Linked DNA regions of Neurospora crassa OR74A. The protein of the gene in region 2 interacts with the protein of the main gene of each other region in a pairwise test. Links are inferred from orthologs where the notes say so. Each region holds a gene or a part of one and is shown on either strand. Other genes may lie near its edges.

Region 1 (11,140 bases), on a different chromosome or scaffold from region 2:
CGGTCTTAATTTTGAAGAGAGGCCCTTACCCGGCGATGATAGGCAGGGAATGGCAGCCGACGTTACCGTCACCACCTTCAACCCTTATCCAGTTGCTTTTGACGTACCCGCGCTCAAGTTCGAGGTCTCGGTTCCGGGATGCAAGAAGCATGGCCCGGCCATTTCTGTCGCCACCGCCCTAACCGATGTCATTGCTCTTAGGCCGGAAGCCGATGTCAAAGTCACTGCCCATTCCATCGTCGAAGAATTGCCAGAGCCTCTTACCCGTCCCTGCCCTGGTGGAACCTTGTCGCCGTTGGACAAGCTCTTTGAAGCCTACGTTGCAGGTGAGCCTGTATCGGTTCTCGTACGAGGTCAGAAAGATCAAGGTGGAGAGGTCCCTGGTTGGATCGGGGATATCATCTCCAGTGTTACGGTCCCTGTACCTCTTCCGCAACAATCCTTTGACGACTTGATTCGTAACTTCTCTTTGACGGACGTATCATTCTCCCTGCCAGACCCGTTGGCAGATCCCGACGACCCCAATTCGAACCCCAAAGTGTCGGGCACTATCGTCGCTTTGGCAGCCCTCCCATCGGAACTGAATATTGGATTGAACGTCTCCAGTGTCAAAGCCAAAGCGGATGTGTTTTATGACTCCAGGAAGCTAGGCGAACTGGAAATTGACGAGAAGGCCAGCTCCATTCAAATCGACGGCGGTCCCGGTGAAGAAAACTTGATTGAGATCACATCACACGTTCACGATACACCGCTCAAGGTTACCGACGATGACGTGTTGACCGATGTTATTCAGGCCCTCCTTTTTGGTGACACCGATGTCATTCTCGACATCAGCGCTCTTGTCGACGTTGGCGTACATACAATTCTTGGACAATTTGTGGTGAAGGGTGTCCCCGCGGAGGGCAGAATTCCGCTCAAACGTCCGTCTCTTCTCCAATGATACTTTGTCAGTCACCTTGCTACTGTTGGCGATTATGCATCTCTTGTCGATGCTATCCATCAGTCGCTCACGCATACCTCATGGACATCTCAGAAAACTGACATCTCGCTCCTTCACTAGCCCTTGGAAACGATCTTCTCGGCTCTATGCAGCCTCAAGTGGGAGAACTGGAAGTTGTTGACACTAGCCCAGTCTCAATATCTCTACAGGCGTCAGTTAACGTAACCAACCCTACTCCATACGCGGCCTACATTCCTTGGATTAGCATCAACATTTTGAAAAATGGAACTGTTCTCGGCGAGGCGCGTGCAAAGAGACTAACAATCAAGCGTGGAAACAATACAAACCTGAAAGTGACGGCACTATGGAGGCCTTCTTTGGCCGGAGAAGATGGCGTGCAAATCGGCCGGGATTTGATTTCGCAGTACATATCCGGTTATAACACAACCGTGACGCTTAGAACACATCTGGGTACTATTCCATCAAAGCCAGAGCTGGGCAAAGCGCTGTCAAAATTCAACTTTACGCTCCCAATGCCTAGACTTAGCGTGCCTGGCGACGATGAAGGTGGACGACACGATGGGGACGGTAGCACCAATGATACGGCTCCTCACTTTATTCGAGGCGCGACCTTTCACATATTCTCTTCTCAAGCCACATTTACGTTAGCCTCGCCCTTCTCACGAAACACGATTTATATCGAGCACATCAATGCTACAGCCCTGTACAATCACACGGAGGAAATCGGACGAATCAAGTATGATTCACCGTTTGGTTGCCCTCCGGGGGTGTCCACCACGCCTAGGTTGCCGGTGGACTGGTCTCTGGACTCGGTTGGACGTGATAAGGTGAAGGAAGCATTAGGTGGTAGGCTGAAGCTTGATGCGAAGGCTACTGTCAGTGTCAGGATTGGATCCTGGACAGAGACGCTGTGGTATGTTGGAAGGGGAATAGGAGCGAGCGTCCGCCTCTGAGAAAGACATACGAGAGATTTGCTTATGGGTTGGATTCAGGACGGTTTGCTTGCTTGAATTTCTTGAAGTGTTAGGTTGGAATATTGCTGGAGTGCTCTTTGTTGGGACCTCTTCTCCATTCCTTGTTTTTCATCGAATACCTGATTTTGTCTTCTGGGTTATGTGAAGGAGTTACTGGCGTTGTTGGGGGTTGAATAATTTGCAGGCACGATTGGCAAGGGAGCAACAAGAGCACATAGAGCGACGGGCTGCTAGTTGATACTGTAGATTTTACACTGTATTTTCTCATGATTACATGATCAAGAGAAAGGGCGTACTGGATCAGACAATACCTTCTTTTCTGTCTTTCTGGAAAGGCTGGTTGCCGAGGCAACTGGATCTGAAGCTGGGAAAGGGGCTGGATCTTGGGGTGGTTTGTTGGAGAACGACATAATCCGCCAAAGGCCCAAGAAGCTTGGTCCTTGAATCATTACTACACCATTTCGGCATGTACAGAAACAATCAGGAAGAAGGTAACAATAAACGAACGGAAATTATTAGCATATTTGTACATTTTAATTACGAGAACGTCTTTGGTTCTCGATGTTCTAACAGGCGTTCGTTATCGGCATGTGTTTCCCCGCAATTTTTGGGCGACGCTGCAACTGCAGCCAACCTAATGAGGTACTGCTTTACACTACCAATTTACACAAGTGGAAATTTCTGATTTTTTCAAAGCCTGCGCACCTTGACGACCAGGCTCCAACATTCTCACAACCCACTTTCAAGAACCACGTTTCTTGTTGTGACCTTGGTTGTTGTTCACATTTTTGTACCTGACATAGCAAAGTCAAGTACCTCGAGGCAAACCACCACATCATGGCCGCTCAAGCTTCAACTTCGGCGGCTCAGTCCGAACCCCGTCGTAACGACTATAGCTCCGCCTCTGACTCTGGCTCCGATGCCTCTTCTTCTTCTGGCGACGAGGATGAGTGGCTCGACCAAGACGAGGAGCAAGAGGAGGCCCCCGCTATCATCTCCTTGCTCGACGACCATGTCTTCCCCGACGTTGTCTCCATGCTGAACTACTGCAAGGATAAGGGTCTTGATTTCCTTGCCATTCGCGACCGTCTCAACTTGGATTTCTACGGCTTGATCAAACTTATCAACTTCAGTAGGTCTCCAGTCTCCACAAGCTAAATAGGCAGCCTGCTGACAACATATTAGTCCGTTCCAAGGTTCACGAAGGCGTCCCTCTTCCCGCTGAGATCACTGCCGCCGATCTGGAGGATGACCGCTATCTCAAGCCCGTCCTTGATGACGACGCCTTGATTTTGTGCCTGGATGATCTCCCTGAGTCCAGCGGTACCGGCGCTGAGGCTTCTGCTGCCGGCACCCAGAAGGGCGCGGATGCGCCTGCTGTGGATGAGTTGATCCAAAAGAACGCCGAGCTCCAGGCTCAGCTCGAGCAGCTGTCCAAGCAGTTCTCCAATTACCGCCTTGCCGTCCAGCAGACCCTCGATCAGCGCTGGCAGGCTGATGACGACGACAAGGATGCTGCCAAGGGCAAGGCCGCCGCCGCTGCTGCTGCTGCTGCGCCTTCAGGTCCGGCCCCCGAGGGTCCTGCCGCCAAGGAGGGTGCTTCCGACTACTACTTCGAGTCATACGCGCACAACGACATCCACGAGACCATGCTCAAGGACACGGTCCGCACCGAAGCCTACCGCGACTTCATCTACCAGAACAAGGACCTCTTCGCCGGCAAGGTCGTCCTCGACATTGGCTGCGGCACGGGTATCCTGTCCATGTTCTGCGCCAAGGCGGGTGCGAAGCAGGTTATCGCCGTCGACCGCTCGGAAATCATCGACAAGGCGCGCGAGAACATTTACGCCAACGGGCTTTCGGACGTGATTGTTACCCTCAAGGGCCGCATCGAGGAGGTGATCCTCCCCGTCGAGAAGGTCGACATCATTGTGTCCGAGTGGATGGGCTACTGCTTGCTGTACGAGGCCATGCTCAACAGCGTTTTGTGGGCGCGCGACAAGTACCTGGCTCCCCAAGGTCTGCTCGTCCCCAGCCACGGCAACATGTGGATCGCGCCCGTGTCGGAACAGGAGTACATTGCCGAGTACGTTGACTTCTGGCGCGACGTGTACGGCTTCGACATGAAGGTGATGCAGAAGGGCATCTACGAGGATTGCCGGATGGAGGTTCGTCCCGCCGAGACCGTGTGCGGCACCCCGGCCTCGTTCGGGTTGTTGGATTTCCACACCGTCAAGGTCGAGGACCTCGTGTTCACGGCTAAGTGGCAGAGCGCCTTCGACGACAAGGCCGAGAGCCACGACGGCTTCCTCGTCTGGTGGGACGTTTTCTTTGCGCGCAACCGCGTCGACGAGTCCATCAAGCTGGACACCAAGGCGCAGGAGTGGGTGGCTGAGACGGCCGGCAAGGGCGGCGATAAGGACGCCCGGGTGGCGTTTACTACCGGACCGTTTGGTGAGCCTACCCATTGGCGACAGGGCCTGATGCTGTTGGACAAGAACAAGGTCAAGGAGACGAAGCCGGCTCCTGGCAAGAAGATTGCAGGCGAGATTGAGTATATCACCGCCGAGAATCACGAGCGCGGATTGAACTTGAGGGTTACTTGGGCTGCCGAGGGTGAGAAGGAGCAGACTCAGACTTGGCTGTTGCACTAGTGGGATAACGTTGAGTGGCGTCTGGCGCTGTGAGCTAAAAAGGTCTGGAAGGGTTGTCTTTACATGGATGGGTTAGATTTCTTGTACGATCTTAAACATTGGGAAGCTCTGTATAGCCGTTACATAAGATAGAGTCACTTATGGTGTCTATAGGCAAATCTGTTAGAATGCAGTAGCACAATTCTGCGTTGCTGGATGTCTCGAATATCTGAGGCCGCTATAGTGAGATACATGTGTATATCGATCGTTATTTGACTCGTGAAGTCCAATAACAAGGACACTTAGCGAAGAATGATATCTAACGAGAAGCAGCCCATACACGTGCTCATTATGGCTTCAGAAAGCCAAAACCAAGACAAACCCAGCCTTCGTGCTCATATTTTTTCTTCCCATGGTATCTAACAATTGCCCCCAAAAAGAAATTCGACTTTCGAACATACGTTCGTGTTGTTCCCTGCATCATTTACTTCCCCCAGGACCTTGCGTCTCTGAATTCGAAGGCCCAGCCCCTCCATCCTTCGGCTTATACTTGGGCATTTTCTCATACGCATTTGGGCTCGGCCTCCTTTCCGTCTTCTTTCCTTTATTGCCGTGTTTCCTCCCACGTCCATGGTCGTGGTTACAACCACCCTCCCGGCCATCATGGTCATGATCATGGGAATGCCGGTGGCCCCTGCCACTACTACCACCGCCGGATGTGATTCGTTTATCTTGGTCAGGTTCTGGGTCCGAGTCGGAATCGGAGGAGGATGAAGAGTCGGAGGAAGAAGAAGAATCGTCACTGGACTCGTCTACGCCTTTTGGTCGGTGGTAGATGCAGCAGACTGTTTTGTTCATGGCACGCCGGTGGTGTTAGCATATGTATTTGTCAGAGTGTGTATGTATGCGCGCAAGGTAATTGAAGAGTGGGGGGGCAGATGGAGAACCCAAATCAACTAACCTTTGGACTTCTTCCTGCCGAGACCTTCGTTGTCAACGACATCGCTACGCCATTGTACAGATCGCCCGTTCGAGTGTGCGCCGCGAAGTCGCAAGATGGCCGGAGAAGAGGTCTCGGTTTGGGTTCGGGTTGGGGCAGCGGTTTGGCTGGTGGACGGTTGCGCAGGCTGCGCTTGCCGTTGGGCGACGGAGGTCATTGTGTGATTGTATCAAAGTTTGCTGTTGTGTTTTTGGGACGTATGTGTTTGAACGGGTGGTTGTATGTATGCGGTAGGTAGTCGTAGAGGTAGTCGGGTCCGGGAGAAGATGAGGTTTTGGGAGCGCTTCTTTTCTTCTTCTTCTTTTTTTTTCTTTTCTTCTCTACAAAGGCGCGGTTTCAAGGGTGGTGTGGTCTGTTCGAGAAAAGAGTTAGGTGATCGTCGTTTGAAGGCCGTCCGGTCATGCGACAAAAATTGCGGTCTGACGGAGTCTGGGGAAGTTTGTGTGATCGCCGCTGCTGACGAGGAGCGTGCCTGGCAGGAACTGGAATTTTCATGCGACTCTTGTCGCGGGGTTCCAGGCTGTTCTGTTATCTCGATCTGAAAGCTAGCTCTCGGCCTGTCTGTCTCCCTTGACCCGTCGCGCAATGGGTATTGGTCGGCAGGTTGCAGTACCTTCTAGACTTGAATACCGTAGGCCGAAGACGAACGAACTTGAAGGTGTGTTGGGTGTAGTACGTAGTATACCTAGAGGTAGGTGTGGTGCATTCAGTGTGGGACACGTTACTTAACACGCCTCGGTGTAGTGTGGGTCGATGGCCGTTAGAGCAACCTTTGATGACGGAAGAATCGCAGCCGCTGAAGGTTTTCGGTTTTGGCGCTATGTACGCAGTACTCTTCCCGTTTCCCCCACGTCCCCGCTTCCCTTCGTCATTCCACCTTCCACATTCCTCTGCCAAAATAAAAGCCCAAGAGTCAATGCAGGGCACCCAATCAAAAGGTGGGGCGAAGATCGCCTGCGGGAAGGAAGTCGAATTGACAAGGGTCCCCTGATAGGTCGAGCGCAAGCGTCCGCACTGTTCTCCCTCACAACCCTGAAGGCAGATCATTCAAGTTGCTTCAACCCTGAACCAAAGTTCCAACAACACCCCTGATTTGAGCCTCATTGTATGATCGGGAAGGGACCGCTGCAAACAAACAAAATAGTTTGTTGGGTGTCCATATGTCCATGGCATATGCTTTAACTACATGTGCGTGATGGGCCTTTGAAGTTTTTCGTTGGTCTTCGGGCAATTGCGTCCGCTTCCACTTACATGTCAAAGGCTGAGGATGGGAGGTTTGGATGTTGACTGACGACTGAGGCCGTACCAAAGGGTAGCACATATTCTTTAGTGTCCTTTTTATATCCATCAAGGCTTGCTCAGTTAGTCCTCAGCTCCGCGGTGCGTTTTCTCATTCACGCGGCTAGGCTTGCGTGCCATAGCAACTCAACAATAGAGAGCGGTGCCGGTCCAGCCCACTGCAGCCTATAGTCAAGCTTGCGAACCCTTCTCACCTTGAATGCCACTTGGATGTTCGTGTTCAGCAGCTGGTATGGCAGCACAATGGAATGATCTTATGTCCGTGATCCTTGAGCTTAGGTTGTGAACCTCTTTGGACGTTGTGCTGCCTCAGAACTAGACCACCACCAAACACCCCGCCTCTCCCGCGTCACACAACGGGAGTTTCGATGCTTGCCAAACACCACTGGTCCTCATTGCCGTCCTTTTGCTGTTGGCAAAGCTTCCGGCAGTCGGCCCACGCGTAGAACACTCCCAGCTTCCACCGGGATCCTGCTTTTGCCTGCCCTTAACTGAGCTGCCCTTCACTGCGTGGACTGCCTTTCTCTGCCCTTTCCTGCTCTTTCTTTCCGTCCATGGACCTTTACGATCCCCAGCGGCCTTCCCGACCAACGAATCTCTGTATATCCCAGGTCCCTTCTGCACCCACCCACCTTGCATCCCCGCCCCCGGCTTGGGACCAGGACCCTTTCCCATAGAATCCATCTTACTTTATCTACAACAACGCCCGACCTCTCGGCCTTTCTTCCTTCCTCTGTCTGTTTCCCCTCCACACCGCCTGGCGCGACCGCATTCTCTGATCATAATATTCGACATACCCGTGCCTGGTCATCCAGCCTAAAAACCCGCAGGAACGACACTCTTTCGTGGCCTCGTGACAGTCTGGCTGGCTCCTGTAACGTCAAGGTTAGCCTAAGCGAACATCATCGTGGTACCGCAGTACAACTGCCTGCCCCCCCCCCCCCCCCCCCAAGACAGCAAACAATTCGAGACAGAATGACCATCGCTCTTTCCCTCTATCTTTCCTAGCGGGGAAGCATAATCTGAGAGCGAACTCAACAGGCTGGGAAGTCACCTGTCACAAAGATCTGCCAGACCACAAGGCGACTGGACTCACTCCACCCTCAGCTGGCAATCACCCATTGCCCACACCTTCCAGTTGCAATTCTGGTTGCGCACTGCAGTCTCCATTCCCTTCTGACGGAGACAATACACTCATACGGTCCGTCTCTTCGCCACACCACCGCAACTAGTACACTCCGGTTTACTGCGCTGTACCAATTGGTCAGGGCAATCACCTCTACTGTGACCTATCCACCCCAAGGTAGGGCGGGGACTGAGGTGCCAGAATCAACAACAGAAAGAGCAATCAATCATTGCGCCTTGTCGCCTTCCTAATTGATCATGGCGGCACTCAAGAACGCTCCCGCGCCAGCGGTCACGGTGCGCTCTTCAAAGGCCCTGGGCCTCAAGACTTGTAACCCAATTCCTCCCAGCTTGCCTTCTCCCAAGGACGCTGCCGAAGCAGCATCGCCAACTTCACCGACCCTCTCCCACACAGCTTCTGACGACAGTACCATCGCCGATATGCCTCCCGGCGGCAGACCAAGACATAATCCCCCGAAGCGGGAGGCTGACTTCAGCACTCTATTGTCACCCCAGGAAAAGAACGACTTAACTTCACTCATTACCAGAACCACCGATGTTATGCAGAAGCACTTTTCCCATGTTTACGACTCAGCCGGTCTGGTCGATGACGCTCCCTCGGTTCGTAACAAGTTCTGGAGCGGACTTCCCGCTCACTTGCGTGATTTCAGCATCACCAAGCCTCTCCCTGCGGAGACGCAGCTCCTGAACCCCAAGAAGCGCACTAAGGGTAAGACCTCAAGGAGCCAAAAGGAAAATGGAAACATGGCTCGAGACACCAAAAACAGCTCGGGTGCTGCACTGCAGCCAGCTAACCCATCTAACCTGAATATCCAACGCGCCCCTGAACAGGACAATGACAAGACAATCGGGCCCTACCTTCAGGAATTGAAGAAGGAAGCCATGCTGCACTTCAAGAAATGGCAGACAGCGGTACATAAGAGAATGGGTGACATCTCAGTCAAGCGGGCTGGAGATGCCAACTTCAACTCCACGGTGCCAAACAGCAGACGAGGCAGGAACAGGCCTAACGGTGAGTACTTACTCCACCTAGTGACCAGGGACACGTATATAGAGATAGTGTGACGGCTGCTAATTCCATGACAGGAGTTTCAACCTCCAACATTGAGTCCGACCCTGTTCTGATGCAGCTCTACCCACCGATCCCGTCGACGCTTTGCTACTGGCCTCTAGAGAGAAGATTGCTGGTGCTTCACGCTCTGCTACTCCTCCTGCTCTCACTCGAGCATTACAGTGCATATACTCGGGTGCTGCTGCTCCATATCACCTCTTCGCTGAACCTTCCTCTTCGCGTCCTCGTTGATGACGAGGTCCGCGTTGCCAAGGCTATTGCGTGGATGGCCAAGGATATCAATCCAGAGGAGCTGATCCAAAAAAGAATCGAGGAATGTGCTGGGAAGCCATCCAGGAGATGGAGGCACGGATTGGCAAGTATGGCTGGAATTAGCAGCTTTGGGATACCTGGCCATCTCGCTCCGCCCCTTGTGGCTGCAGGAATCGGATCTGTCAATGGAGGTTTCGGGCTTGGACCTACTGCTTCCGCCGGCATATTAGGTTCGACAGGCGAGAGTGCTTTTGTTGTCGGCGCTTTGCTCGGTATCTACAACGCCAGAACCTCGGTCAAGTTGATGGAGCAGTGTACCAAGGAGATACAGGACTTCGCTTTCATCCCCATGCGCGGCTCTATTGGCCAAGATGGCGAGATTGGCAAAATCCAGCCAGATGCCCGTCGTCTCCGAGTAGTGCTGGCCATTAGTGGATGGCTGACCGACGAGTCGGACGTCACTAACCCCTGGAGGGCTTTAGGACAGGCGAATGAGGTATACGCTGTGCGATGGGAGGTGGACTCGCTCTCGAAGATGGGTACAGCTTTGGAGACTGTCGTAAGGAGCTCGGCATGGTCCATGGCAAAGAAGGAAATCATTGCTCGGACCAGTGAGCCTCCTTTCAATATCCCAAAGTGTAACCTCTCGAGACGCGCTAACAAACATGGTCCAGTTTTCACCAGCATGACGGAATCCCTTTGGCCACTCGGCTTGCTCAAGATCAACAAAATTATCGATAATCCCTGGAGCGTCGGCATGGTCCGCGCCGACAAGGCCGGAACTCTTCTCGCCGACGCCATCATGAACAAAGCCCACGGAGAGCGTGGAGTGACGCTGATCGGTTACAGTCTCGGCGCCCGTGCGATCTATGTCTGTTTGATGGTCTTGGCGGAGCGCAGAGCTTTCGGTCTTGTCGAGAACGCCGTCATGATGGGTACGCCCGCACCCTCGGAGGCCCGCGTCTGGTGTACCATGAGGAGCGTAGTCTCTGGCCGGCTTGTCAATGTCTTTTCAGAGAACGATTACCTGTTGGGCTTCTTGTATCGGACGAGCAGCATCCAGTTTGGCGTTGCAGGTTTGCAGCGGATCGAGGGTATTGATGGTGTCGAGAATGTTGATGTCTCTGCTAAGGTCAGTGGACATCTCCGATACCAGTACCTCGCCGGTAGCATCCTAAAGCACATCAACTGGGAGGACATCAACCAAGAGCAGGTTAGCCGAGATGAGGCAGCCATGGTAGCCGCAGAAGAAAGGGTGCGAGAGCGTGAGAAGAAGCGAGACGCCGTCGAGCGTGGAATTGTGGTGATAGACAAGGCGAAGGAAGCTGCAAAAAATGATCCGGGTATTATCAGGACCCGGATGAGGAAGAAGAACAAGAGGTGAACGCTGAATTCGACTCGTCGGGAGGAGGGGAGGGGGAATTGGTGAACGTTTAACTTTGGCTTTCTTGGGACCTAAGTTCCTGCTCATGTTTATGTTATGACAACGACAAGGGGGTGGCAACGCAGGGCTCATAAGAAATGAGACAGAATTCGTACGTTATCTAAATAATTGTAGGATTAGCTTCAGTTCAGTTAGCTTTCTATACCAGAGTAATCTCTGGCGGCCGATGTGGATCATCTGGGTAGGGCACACTTAGTATGATACAGCAATCAAATATTGTAGTGTGGCGTTTGCATCGCAACAGCGTCGGGTAGTCCCTCACTCAGTGATTCTTGTCCCTTGAATACCCCTCGGAAGACGTGAACTCCCAGTACAGACAGGCTGGGCATCTGACGCGGTTCCCTGAAAGGCCTGAAAGT
Region 2 (11,670 bases):
GGGATGCTGAGGGGAAGCCTGTGGTGTTTGGGAATAATGATAATATGAAGGCGGTAGGGGAGAGAGGTATGAACATCGCGGATGAAGCAGATATCTGCAGGTGTTCGTATGCGAACTATGGGCTCGACTCTATCACTAGTATTAAGTCTGGTAAACTACAAGGGCAGAGTCAGAGTCAGGGTCTGGACTAGAATCATGAAAGTAGGATTCGAGCAGTACACTACTGGGTACCGTGCTTAAAGACTGGCGAGTTACCTAGTCTAGTGCTCTGGAATCCAGCATAATGCCAGAATGGGGCTTGATAGGAGTTCCAGCGATCCGTAGGGCTGAAAGCTGATGCGGTTAGGTGAGCCCAGACATTGCCGTCTCCCCTTTTAGGAGCACCAACCTCGGGTACTCTCATGCTTATACGGCATAAGAGACAGCTTGGCAGGTGCATCGATGACTGCTGACAGCCGGTCAACAAGCAAGACGTCGTGTTGTTACTGGCCCGAGGTACTTGCTGCATCGGTAGCCAGGAACTTGGTCCCGATCTAAACCCTTTGAGAGGTAAAGAAGCGAGCATGAAGCTTTCCTGTCTGATTAGATCCCGCCGGCTAGCTCCACTGACGCGGAAGAGAAATGCTGAAAGACCGGAAGGACCCGCAAGAAAGTTAACGAACCCACAGGCTAGCTGCATCTCGTTTCAGGGTCGATTGCTTGGTGGCGCCACCGTCTGGGGTAGCAGTGGTTCATGGTTTGATGTGAGACGGATCATGTACATCAGCGTCTATGCACCCAACGCGAAGGATGCCTGAACAGTCATGTACCTCACATGTGCCTAAGTAGGTTGAACTAATTATCAATGACAAGAAACAATATATAAGGATAAAGCTGTTCAAGAAAGTCCCGGCTGGTCCCTACGGAACCTCTGGTTATAATTCACCATTGTCAGACGAATCACTTTATCATTGGACGGGAATGCCAACAACTGCCTGAGAAGACCTTGATCCGGAGCATGTCCCGTCAGCGCGTCCACATACTGTGTAATGCTTCCGGACGGGCTGTATTTTGATACAGGACAGGAATATCTTGGTCATTGAAGTTGCTTGGGTTAATCCATACCGATGATTGCAACAACTTGTTACGGGAAATGTCGTGAGGGAAACAAGAAAGAACAACAAGCGGAAGGTACTTTTGCGGTGGACGTGCATGTCGTTGGCTTTCCTTCTCCCACAGAAAATGACAGGCGACGATTGCTGAAGGTCACGTTGAAGGTTCGAGATTGAGGTTCTCAGAATGAACGTGAACCAGCGCAAAGCCTTACGGCCTTGATCTGATCCGTTTCCCATCCCCAGCATTTGTTGATCCGACAGTGAACAAGCAAAGTTGACAACGGACACTCCATGATATATGAATCTGCTTGTAGTTTCAGGCTTTCTCTGTTATCACATATGAAATAGAGAAAAGGGGTCATTGGAGACGTGAAGGAAAAGTTAAGCCGCAAGAATTGTCACCCATTTTCGCTTGTCACGATCAAGTTGAGGGTTGGAAGTTGAACTGACGTTGATTCCTCGGTGACCCACCCTTCATCGTTGTATGCATCAATGGGGGTGTTTGTGCCTTTTTGCCAAATATCTTAGCGCTGCCCCGCACAACCCCATGCTGAAGGACAACAGAGGTGGAGACATCTGTCAAACCCACTCCAGCCTCTATCCATCACGTTTCGCGCTTGCACATTAGCCACGGCCTCTGGTTGGCTCCGGTTAAATAGGTTAAACGGGAACTTGGAGACGGGCTACCGGGTCATATCCAGCCCCACCACCCGCAGCTTGCGGGCTCCAGCGACTCCAACAATTGCTCCAAACACGATTTCTTGATATGGACAGTATTGAAGATTTTCAAGGTCAAGTGAGACAGGTCTTGAGTAAAGGCGTTCTACCCTCTCTACCTAGTCACTCGGCAGATAGACCGAGAACTTGGAGAGACTAAGAGGGAAAACGTCCTTTGCTAGTTGTGACCAGCCCACTCCGAGGTCAAAGCTACCATCAAGGTACCAGCAAACGCCTAGGCAGGCCGCTTTGGCGCCATATACATACAACATGATGTCGATGCAATGCAGTCGGACGAACCCACCCCTTCTCCAACTTTCTTTTAAACCGCGCAAATAGGCGTTCAAGATGACCAGTACCCAATACCCTGGCCCCTGCGCCAGCTGACAAGGCTTGGGGCCATTACCCATGCCAATCATGGCCGGTTTCCAGAAAGGCAACCGTCCCTGGGCATTTCGAGTATCGCCGGCGACCAGTCAGCTAATGGGATTCCGCACAGCATCTGAAGAACCACACCCCAACACGTTACCTTGACATCCTGTCAGGCCAGATGAGGGTCCCTGGAAAACCAAGCTCCTGTCTGCCACGCCCGGGACCTGATAGCGGGTCTGTGAGGAGTAGACGGAGGCGCGGGAGGATGAATGTGGAAGGAGGTGGAGGGACGCAGTGAGGGGACAACATGAGCCGAAGTCCATCGCCGTCATAGCTCTGCTCCCCAACCGGCATAGTATTCGTCCGTGGATGGGCCGGGAAAGGTTGGAGTAGGCCACCCGGGTATTGTACATACACGCCGTTTCTTTACGAGTGGCCGGGGAAGTTCTAGCCTCCACCCACTTGACGGACAGCAGCAGCTATAAATACCATTATAGCCGCTCTACCCTCTTGCCTGGCTTGTTTGATCTCTTTCCGTCTCACACACTCCTCTACATCCCACCAACAGACAAAATGGTTCCTGCTATCAAGCTCAACTCCGGCTTCGACATGCCCCAGGTCGGCTTCGGCCTCTGGAAGGTCGACGGCTCCATCGCTTCCGATGTCGTCTACAACGCTATCAAGGCAGGCTACCGCCTCTTCGATGGTGCCTGCGGTATGTTTAAGACTTCCTACTTCCAACTGTACATTACATGATACCTATTGTCAACACAACGTCTCCCCTCGCATGGCAATCTCTCGTGGTGTCCATTCTTATTTTAAGGACACGAGGAGCAGCGATACCATCGCAGGCATGGACACTTATTTACACCACTACCCCACATCGACCCCCGTCACTTCAGCTCACCCTGCTTGCAGGAGGATGAGACATTATCCGTCGAATTCACCCCAAAGCCATAGTACCGCCATCAAAGACACAGTAGGCACGATGGCATGGTTCTTGTTGACTGACTCGAAATGTGTTGGTTACAGACTACGGCAACGAGGTTGAGTGCGGCCAGGGTGTAGCCCGCGCCATCAAGGAGGGCATCGTCAAGCGCGAGGAGCTCTTCATCGTCTCCAAGCTCTGGAACACCTTCCACGACGGCGACCGCGTCGAGCCCATCGTCCGCAAGCAGCTTGCCGACTGGGGTCTCGAGTACTTCGATCTCTACCTGATCCACTTCCCCGTCGCCCTCGAGTACGTCGACCCCTCGGTCCGCTACCCTCCCGGCTGGCACTTTGATGGCAAGAGCGAGATCCGCCCCTCAAAGGCCACCATCCAAGAGACCTGGACGGCCATGGAGTCGCTCGTCGAGAAGGGTCTCTCCAAGAGCATTGGCGTCTCCAACTTCCAGGCCCAGCTCCTGTACGACCTCCTGCGCTACGCCAAGGTCCGCCCCGCCACTCTCCAGATCGAGCACCACCCCTACCTCGTCCAGCAGAACCTCCTCAACCTTGCCAAGGCTGAGGGCATCGCCGTGACCGCCTACTCCTCCTTCGGCCCTGCTTCTTTCCGCGAGTTCAACATGGAGCACGCCCAGAAGCTCCAGCCTCTCCTCGAGGACCCCACCATCAAGGCTATTGGTGACAAGTACAACAAGGATCCTGCCCAGGTCCTCCTCCGTTGGGCCACCCAGCGCGGCCTGGCCATCATCCCCAAGTCTAGCCGCGAGGCCACCATGAAGTCCAACCTCAACTCTCTTGATTTCGATCTCTCCGAGGAGGACATCAAGACCATCTCTGGTTTCGACCGCGGCATCCGCTTCAACCAGCCCACCAACGTAAGTTTGATACTTCCTTTTGCCATTCTCTCATCGGCACCCCAAACTTGGCGTCAGAATATATATATATATATGTCATGGTATAAAAGGTATAGACTAACATGGCAAACTCACAGTACTTCTCCGCTGAGAACCTCTGGATTTTCGGTTAGGTCAACCTTTTTCCGCAGCTTAGGGGAAAAGTTGGCTTTCGCGCCCCCCATTCCAAAACCTTTTGATTTTACCCCTTGAATGTGTATTATACCCACAACGCATTTTGTATACGCGGGCGCGTGATTGGTATGGTCGCCTAGATCGCTACGACCTCTCACGGCCCGCACACACAATGCACACCACACGCTCATGGAAACATCAACATAACCATACCCCGACCATCAGAGACACCGCGAAGAGAGAAGGCTGGTCACCGTACCCTAACGACGGGATGTGTACATATAATGGGGCATACTGTCGTTATCTGCTGAGGCCCGGGGAAGGGCTGTTGGCAGATCAACTCTCCCGGCTCTAGGCCATTTCCTGTTTGCTTGATAACCTGTCAGCTATGAAATAGATGGGGTAGAATGCGATAGAAATCAAGATTTGACAAATCTTTCTGTTTCGAAATTCTTTTTCGTCGATCCCTGCTCGTGACATGAGCTGACTCTGTATTGTTTGTGGTGATTGTCGAAGTCGTCTATATGAATCTGATCATCATCGTACAAAAGCAGTCAATACTAGCCACTAGCCACTCCATGTATCAACCTCGACACAAAGGCGCACGCGACCGTCCTTTCTTGGATGGCCCGGTGGTTTGGACTAAGTTGTTCGTTGGTCCTTTTGTCGGTGAAGTCGGATGAAAATAGTATGGATGCAATTATGAGGGTGAGAATGCAAAGCAAAGGGCAACGGGTCTAGACGAGAGTAGTAACGAAGTCTACTGGGAATACATCAAGTTGTCGATTGTCTTGCTTCAACAACCCATCTAACGCCGTAGTACCATGAACGCCAGTGCCATGCTGCATGAACTTTGACTACACAATCATTATGCTTTGCAAACCGCCAAAATCGCCATTCATATACATCATACGCGGACGAAAGCTGCGTGATTTGGGAATTAGCAAATCTTCTGGAGTTTCCATAAGTAATGCCTGTTGAAACTTACTAGCATCAATCTGCTGCACCTGCGGCAGCGCCAACCGGACCTTGTTCCTATACAATGCCGGCGCTCTGAGCTGTAACGGGTTCCCCTCAAAATACACCGTCGTCAGGTTCTTCTTGTCCTTCAGTTCTCGCTCCACCTCGGCGAAGTCGCCGACCATGTTATAGCTCGCCCACAACTCCTCCAACTCCTCGAGGGGACCGATGCCCTTCAGGCTGGCGATCTTGTTGTTGGAAATGTCCAACACCCGCAGCTTGGTGTTGTTCTCCAACCCTTCGAGCGATTCGAGCGCGTTGTGCGAAATGTACAGTTCCTCAAGCTGGGGTACCTCGCGCAAGGGGGACAGGTCGCGAATCCGATTGGACTGGATGCTGAGCAGACGCAGCTTAGGAAGGCCGCCAAGGCCGGTGAGTTCGGTGATCTTGTTCTTGGCCACCCATAGCTCTTCGAGGTTCTTGAGCGAGTCGAGGTTCTGCAATTCGCGAATGCGATTCGACCCAAGCTCGAGGTTGCGCAGCTTGTCGAGTCCTTCTAACCCTTCGATGCGGCTGATTTTGTTGGAAACAAAGAAGAGATCTGTCAGGTTGGTCAGGTGATTGATGTGCTTGATGTGCTTTATCTTGTTGAAGCTTAGATCCAGACTGGTCAGATTCGTGAGGTCAGTCAGCCCGCGGCCGATGTGCGAAATCAGGTTGTCATAAAGATCAAGATCTTGGAGGGTCTCGGCGACAGCGGCGAGGCCTTCGATATCTTGGATCAGGTTTTGGCGAAGGCAAATGCGGGCAACTTGTTTGAAGCGCTCAAGACGCAATGCTGAGATGGACTGAATGCGGGAGTGGGTGCAAATGATCTCATCGGTATCGAGGGGCTCGTTGTCGAGGAGATCTGTAAACCAAACGAGCCGGACATGGTTAGCCAGAGGTTCGTTACCACCGAGTCATTTTCACTATCGTTTAGACATGTAAAAGGCCTAGTGTCCGTGTTTGAGCGCACTCGAATTGCTTGCCTTCATCCGCTGCAACCTCCTCGCCAGGAACAACGTTGTCATCGTCCGAGTATTCCGGATCCGACAAGGCTTCGGGATTTGTGAGCACAGCACTCTTTGGTACCCGCAGCTTCCCGTCCCAGCCTTTGCTATCTCTGAGAGCGGGGCTTCCTGCTTCGCCCTCGTGTCGTGGTGAAGGATGGTCGTCGACCAGCTCAATATGGTGGCCGGGCGACTGGCGACCCGGTGTGTTGCTGCCTTCTTCAATGGGAGCCGGCATGGTTGTGGTAGTATTTGGGCGGGTAGGTAGTTGGTGCCTGCTCTCGAGCGTTGCGCAAAGTCGCGGAATGGTCGTGGTCGTGCTGAAAAGCGTCCAAAGGTAAAAAAAAAAAAAAGAAACAGGAAAAAGAAAAAGAAAAAAGAGTACCGACGAGCACAGGGATCGATACTATCGCAATACTCAAGGCAGTGTTGATCAGTTAATGGCGCAGTCGGAAGCGGTGGCGCGCTGGTAATCAGTGGTTGGTAGTATTTATTGGACAAATACAGTGACTTATCATTTATGTGATGAGAAGGAGAATCTCCCGACTTTTTTTTTTTATCACTTCCTGATTATCAAACGAATGGAAGTCGCATCTACAGAAAATGAGGGGTCGCTTAGGTTGGTTCTCCAGTCTTCAGTTGGAATATCGTCATGGTCATGGACCAATTCCAACCACCCGCTGGGATGTCCCGTCATGCGCTAGTCCCCTTGGTTGGTCCCCTGAGGCGGACAAATGCGGGGATCACATCAGTGGGTGCACCGTGCAACGCCAGGGCCTGCCTTGTTGGGGGGCAGACTGGAAAGGGTTGGTCGTACAGGGGTCCTGTTAGACTCTTAACGGAAAGGGCATCAGGGCATCCCGAGGCCGTCTACCAACACCCGCATCACCATCGATCAAGACCCGACCGACCTCAACCGACGTTTACCATCCTCGATATCGACGGCGCTCACTGTCATTGCCGCTTCGATTTCATGTCTATGGATCATATCGGTCAATCTTCAAAAGAGATTCTCCAATACTGAGCCCGATCATCTCGAAGAGTGAAGGCTTCAAAAAGCCTCGGAAGGCCTGGAACCGCTCTTTCGAACAAATTACATTCTTTGCTGCCTCACCGGTTCATACAGTACATTATCGAGGCATTTTGGGTGAATCACAGAGCGCCAACCTCGGATTGTCTGGAACTTGTTCCACTGGAACTCCTGTCGACTCGAGTGCGCCACCCAACCTGGCCAGCAATCTCCGATTCGAAAGGAAGTTGTGGAGGTGTATGTGCAGAACACCTTGCAGGAGACTGAAGAGTAATCAACAAGTGGCAGCTGAACACGAGATTATGCAATGGAAACGAGCTGCGGAAAATCCTGCAGTTTGCTCGGGTGAGACAAGTGCCATTGTCTCATAAGTTTCCCCCAATGGTTTCTCGCTGTCTCGTGTCCGCCTCAAGGGCCCGGTTGGAACAACTTCGTGCAATCTCTTCACTTTCGAGCTGTCGTCACGGTAGTACCTACATCAGAGGTTCACGATATGGGGTCACTGCCGCGAGGTCTCTGATCGTTCCCCTGACATTCAAGCCGAGCACATTTTCCGTCGTTAGTGGCAGCGGCCGCACTGCGAAATGCATTCACATCCCGGCGGTGCTGATGCCGCCAGTCGTGTTCGTGGGGCTTCTGGTTGCTTTATACGTGTGGAAGTGCATGATGCTAGTTGTGTTCCAGAACAAGATCATATATATGCCTGGATTCCCTCCCAACTCACGATGGGAGCTCATCGACAACTACGCTAACCACTGCGGTGGAATTAAGTGGACGAATGAAAGGATTCAAGCGGCGGACGGGACAGACCTGGCAATGGCCGTTACAACCGTCCCGATGCAAAAGGGAAAGTTCCCTACAGATAAGAAGGATGCGAGGGCCCATGTATATGTTCTCTACTTTCAAGGTTTGGTTCCTCATATCAACGTGTCGTTCCGGGACTCGCAGCTGATATGGGCACCTAGGAAACGCCGCTTCGATACCGCCACGATTGCCGGATCTGTCATGGGTGCTTCGAAACGTCAGTAACAGCCACAACCCGGACCTGGCACCTCTACAGATGACTTTTGTTTGCCTAAGTTACAGAGGTTATTGGACATCCCGGGGCCGGCCCTCGGAAGCTGGTCTCAGGCGAGATGCTGAAGCCGGTGCACGCTGGATTTCCGAATACCATAAACAACTGTACGGACCAGACAGGGATGCTCCTCTACCCATTCTTCTGCTCTGGGGACAAAGCATCGGTTGCGGTGTGGCCACCAACCTTGCTGCGACAGGCAAGATTCCACAGAATTTGTCAGTCCGAGGCTTGCTCCTCGAGACCCCGTTCTTGTCGGTCAGGACCATGTTGGAGACGCTCTACCCTCAAAAGTGGCTTCCATACAAACACCTTTGGCCGTTCTTACGCAATCATTTGGATAGTTGGACAAACATGGAAACCATTGCCCAGGCCGCGAGGGAAAAGGGAAGTCCGCCGCCAAGTATGTACATCCTTGAGGCCGAAAGAGACGAGTTAGTTCCCCCAGAACATGCCGAGCGTCTGCTCGAAAAATGCCAGGACCTAGGCTTGCCGGTTGAACGGGTCAAGTCTCCGGCGGCGTTTCACAGCGATGCCATCATGAGAGTCGAAGGCAAGAGACTAGCTGCCCTTGGCATTGTGCGACTGACCCAGAAAACATTAGATGTCGGCTGAGACTGCAGACATCAACCGCGTAGCGGCAGACATCCAAACACCGGTCTGGCGGACATGGACCGCACAATTGCTCGTCCATAGCTGCGGAGCTGGCTATGGACAAGTGTGGTAACGGCGGGGCCAGATGGGAGAGAGTGAGCACTGCGAGGGAAGAAGGCAAACGCAGACGCCGGCCGTTTTCACTGGGAGGTGCCGTGCAGGCGAAGCAACTTGGGACCAATGTCGTCCTTTGCATCACATTACGGAGGCGCAGAGACTCTGATGCTGGCGTGGTACAAAGCTATTGCGTACCCTAGGACATGGCGGGGTTATCGCAATAGGAATTGAGGCTCTCATCTCGGGGCTTTCGAATGGGCGAGATCTTTTGACGACTTGGACTGTCCAGCGAGAGAGATGCGTATTGGGCTTCCCGTGTGGAAACATGTGCTTAAACAAGTCGATGCGTAGCTGACGCTGACGGCGAGTTTCAAGTGGTAACTAGTAATGATCTTGGTTCACCACCAGGCACCAGCTCATGCCAAGCCAAATGATGCGGCAAAATGGCAATAGCAGCCAGCCTTGTGAGCTACTGAATCGTCATATGGCCGGACCCCAGGCTCACCGAAAGACGGGAGTGGAGGAAACACCACAATCTTGGAAGGGAAGCTACGGGCCACATGTTGTCTCGGGCGTAAAACTCGCTCCACGCCAATCAACGATCCATTCCAACGTTCGTTCCGCTTAATCGCCGTTTGTATTATGAAGTGAAGGCCACCATCCCACTCATTCCCCACCCCCGGCCGGCTCTCCTCGCCCTTGCATTTCCTCCATGATCCGTCGATCCTATTCCGGGCCATCTTACACCATGAACAGGCAAGAGAAGGGAGGCCGGCCGATGTCGACCCCCATGTCAATGGCCTCGGAATGGACTAGCGCGCCATCAGGTGACCTCGTGCGAATATCCCGTTTCCCACCTCGAACACTTAACGCGCCAAATCACGTTTGATGGTGTGAAAGATACTGCAGGTTGTGCCAGCCAAGGTTACCACTCTATACTATACTACCCATCAAGGTTCACCAACATACATACCCCTCAGGACTGGCTGGAGCCTAGTGCACAAATGGAAACGACTAGGCCTCCATTTCATGCACAGCGCGTCCATATAAAAATGCATCGCCCATCGAGAATTGACGAGGCTCTTCATCCATTTTGTGCGCAGATTTTCGGGCTTCAAAGCACTCGGTACTTTCGGTAGTTAGACAGGTGATATTCGCCAGATATCACCACCAGACTGATAAGAAAGTTGTTGCCGATGCTCTATCGCCATCGATCACCCAAGCCCCCATTCGTGTGTTCCTCGCCGACACATACCACCCGATATCTTGTTGTATCGATGCAATCGATTGCTTGACTGCCATCTTCTGCCTCGAAGTGCAACTTAGGAAGCAGACAAAGTGGTCAATCACAATCGTCTCACAAATGTCATCTCGGTGCCTCGATATCCCCCACAGCAAGAGTGGTTCTAGACCACCGAAGCTAGTCAGGTCGAATTCATCCTTGTCCTTCGCTAAAGAAGCCGGAATTTCCAAGCGTCGCCATGATCTCCGTCATCGTCGCCTTAATGTGGCAACCGTTCCCGGAACAGTGGCTCGTGCAGAGTACGTTTTCAAACCGAACGAAACTCACTTCAAACCTACTTCTGATCAATCTGCTTCTAGTGGCAACCTAAATCCCATCTCACCCATCGTCACCCTCTTGATCGGCCAGGAGTCCCGCATCTTCGCCGCCCACGAAAACGTGCTATCCGCTTCGCCCTTCTTCAAGAACGTCCTCGACACTCAATTCTCCGAAGGTGAAACCAAGCGAATATTGCTTCCTAATGAGGAACCAGAGATCTTCTCCTCAGTTCTCGAATACCTCTACAAAGGCGACTACCACCCCCGCCTTGTTCACGATAGGAGACGGGACACGTGGGAACTGGAGGAGTCAGCGGCAGCAGGCAGAAACGGGAACGGCGGTCGGGAGGCTCCAACCATTTATCATCATTCGGTGGATGGTGAAGTGCTCAAAGACACGGTGATTTACTGCGCGGGCGAGAAATATGGACTGGAAGAGTTGAAGAGAATTGCTCTAAGAAAGCAAGGTCTTCGTAAGTACAGCCTAGTTCATTTCATCAGCTAACTAATGTCTTCCTCCTCTTCGTGCCATCGTGTTCAACTATCTGAACTGAGCTGACCCAAATATGCATACATGCAGAATGCGGAAGAGTGGCCAGCACAATCTTGACCTCCGCCAGATACGCCTACGCCAACACCCCCGACACCGACTCCAAGCTTCGAGCTCACTATCTTGCGCTGATCATTCGCGGCCGCAACACGTTCAAACGCAGCGGAACTATGCAGCTGGAGATGTTTCACGGTGGCAGTGATCTCTTCTTTGACTTGTTTGTGGCACTGTGTAATCATGTTGATGATATTTCGGTTGCTTCGTAAGTCTAGTTTCTTTTTAAAGTCTTCCCTGTCTTCGCAGCCAGGTTCATCATGTATAGAGTACGTAGTTTCTAACTCCCAGCAGAAGCACCCAACAAAACACTCAGCAAAGCTCCTGCAACGAGGACGGCCCCCAGCCGTAGTTCTTTAACCTTTTTTCTTCTTCTTCTTCTTTCAAGTTGCTGTTTCCACACATCTTGTGAAGGTGTGTGATTTCAAGACGGATGGTTCTTTTTCTCCAAGATACATTTGGCCAATTTTCTACTCGTACATGATATTACTCGGTGCTTTCTATCACATGGTGTTGGGG

What was found.
Region 1: the proteins of NCU08385 (region 2) and NCU01670 interact in binary tests that used the Saccharomyces cerevisiae proteins (3 or more experiments, as listed by UniProt). The link is inferred for Neurospora crassa OR74A from reciprocal best matches to the Saccharomyces cerevisiae genes SDS22 and YPI1.

Annotation. Positions count from the first base shown.
Region 1 is NC_026502.1:2,745,872-2,757,011, reverse strand, and holds NCU01670 (type 1 phosphatase regulator ypi-1), read right to left. Parts: upstream 6,398-11,140; 5' UTR 5,726-6,397; coding exon 5,530-5,725; intron 5,414-5,529; coding exon 5,049-5,413; 3' UTR 4,663-5,048; downstream 1-4,662. Other genes in the region: NCU01668 (hypothetical protein), read left to right, coding at 1-920, 1,061-1,914; prm-3 (S-adenosylmethionine-dependent methyltransferase superfamily domain-containing protein), read left to right, coding at 2,773-3,067, 3,121-4,589; NCU01672 (DUF726 domain-containing protein), read left to right, coding at 8,251-9,025, 9,100-10,721.
Region 2 is NC_026501.1:5,511,582-5,523,251, reverse strand, and holds NCU08385 (protein phosphatase PP1 regulatory subunit sds22), read right to left. Parts: upstream 6,679-11,670; 5' UTR 6,410-6,678; coding exon 6,151-6,409; intron 6,030-6,150; coding exon 5,148-6,029; intron 5,084-5,147; coding exon 5,067-5,083; 3' UTR 4,604-5,066; downstream 1-4,603. Other genes in the region: NCU08383 (hypothetical protein), read left to right, coding at 1-191; xr (xylose reductase), read left to right, coding at 2,757-2,898, 3,216-4,006, 4,123-4,158; NCU08386 (hypothetical protein), read left to right, coding at 7,786-7,824, 7,886-8,222, 8,290-8,891; NCU08387 (hypothetical protein), read left to right, coding at 10,351-10,529, 10,590-11,020, 11,128-11,359, 11,446-11,503. UniProt on the Saccharomyces cerevisiae protein: Regulator of the mitotic function of yeast type 1 protein phosphatase.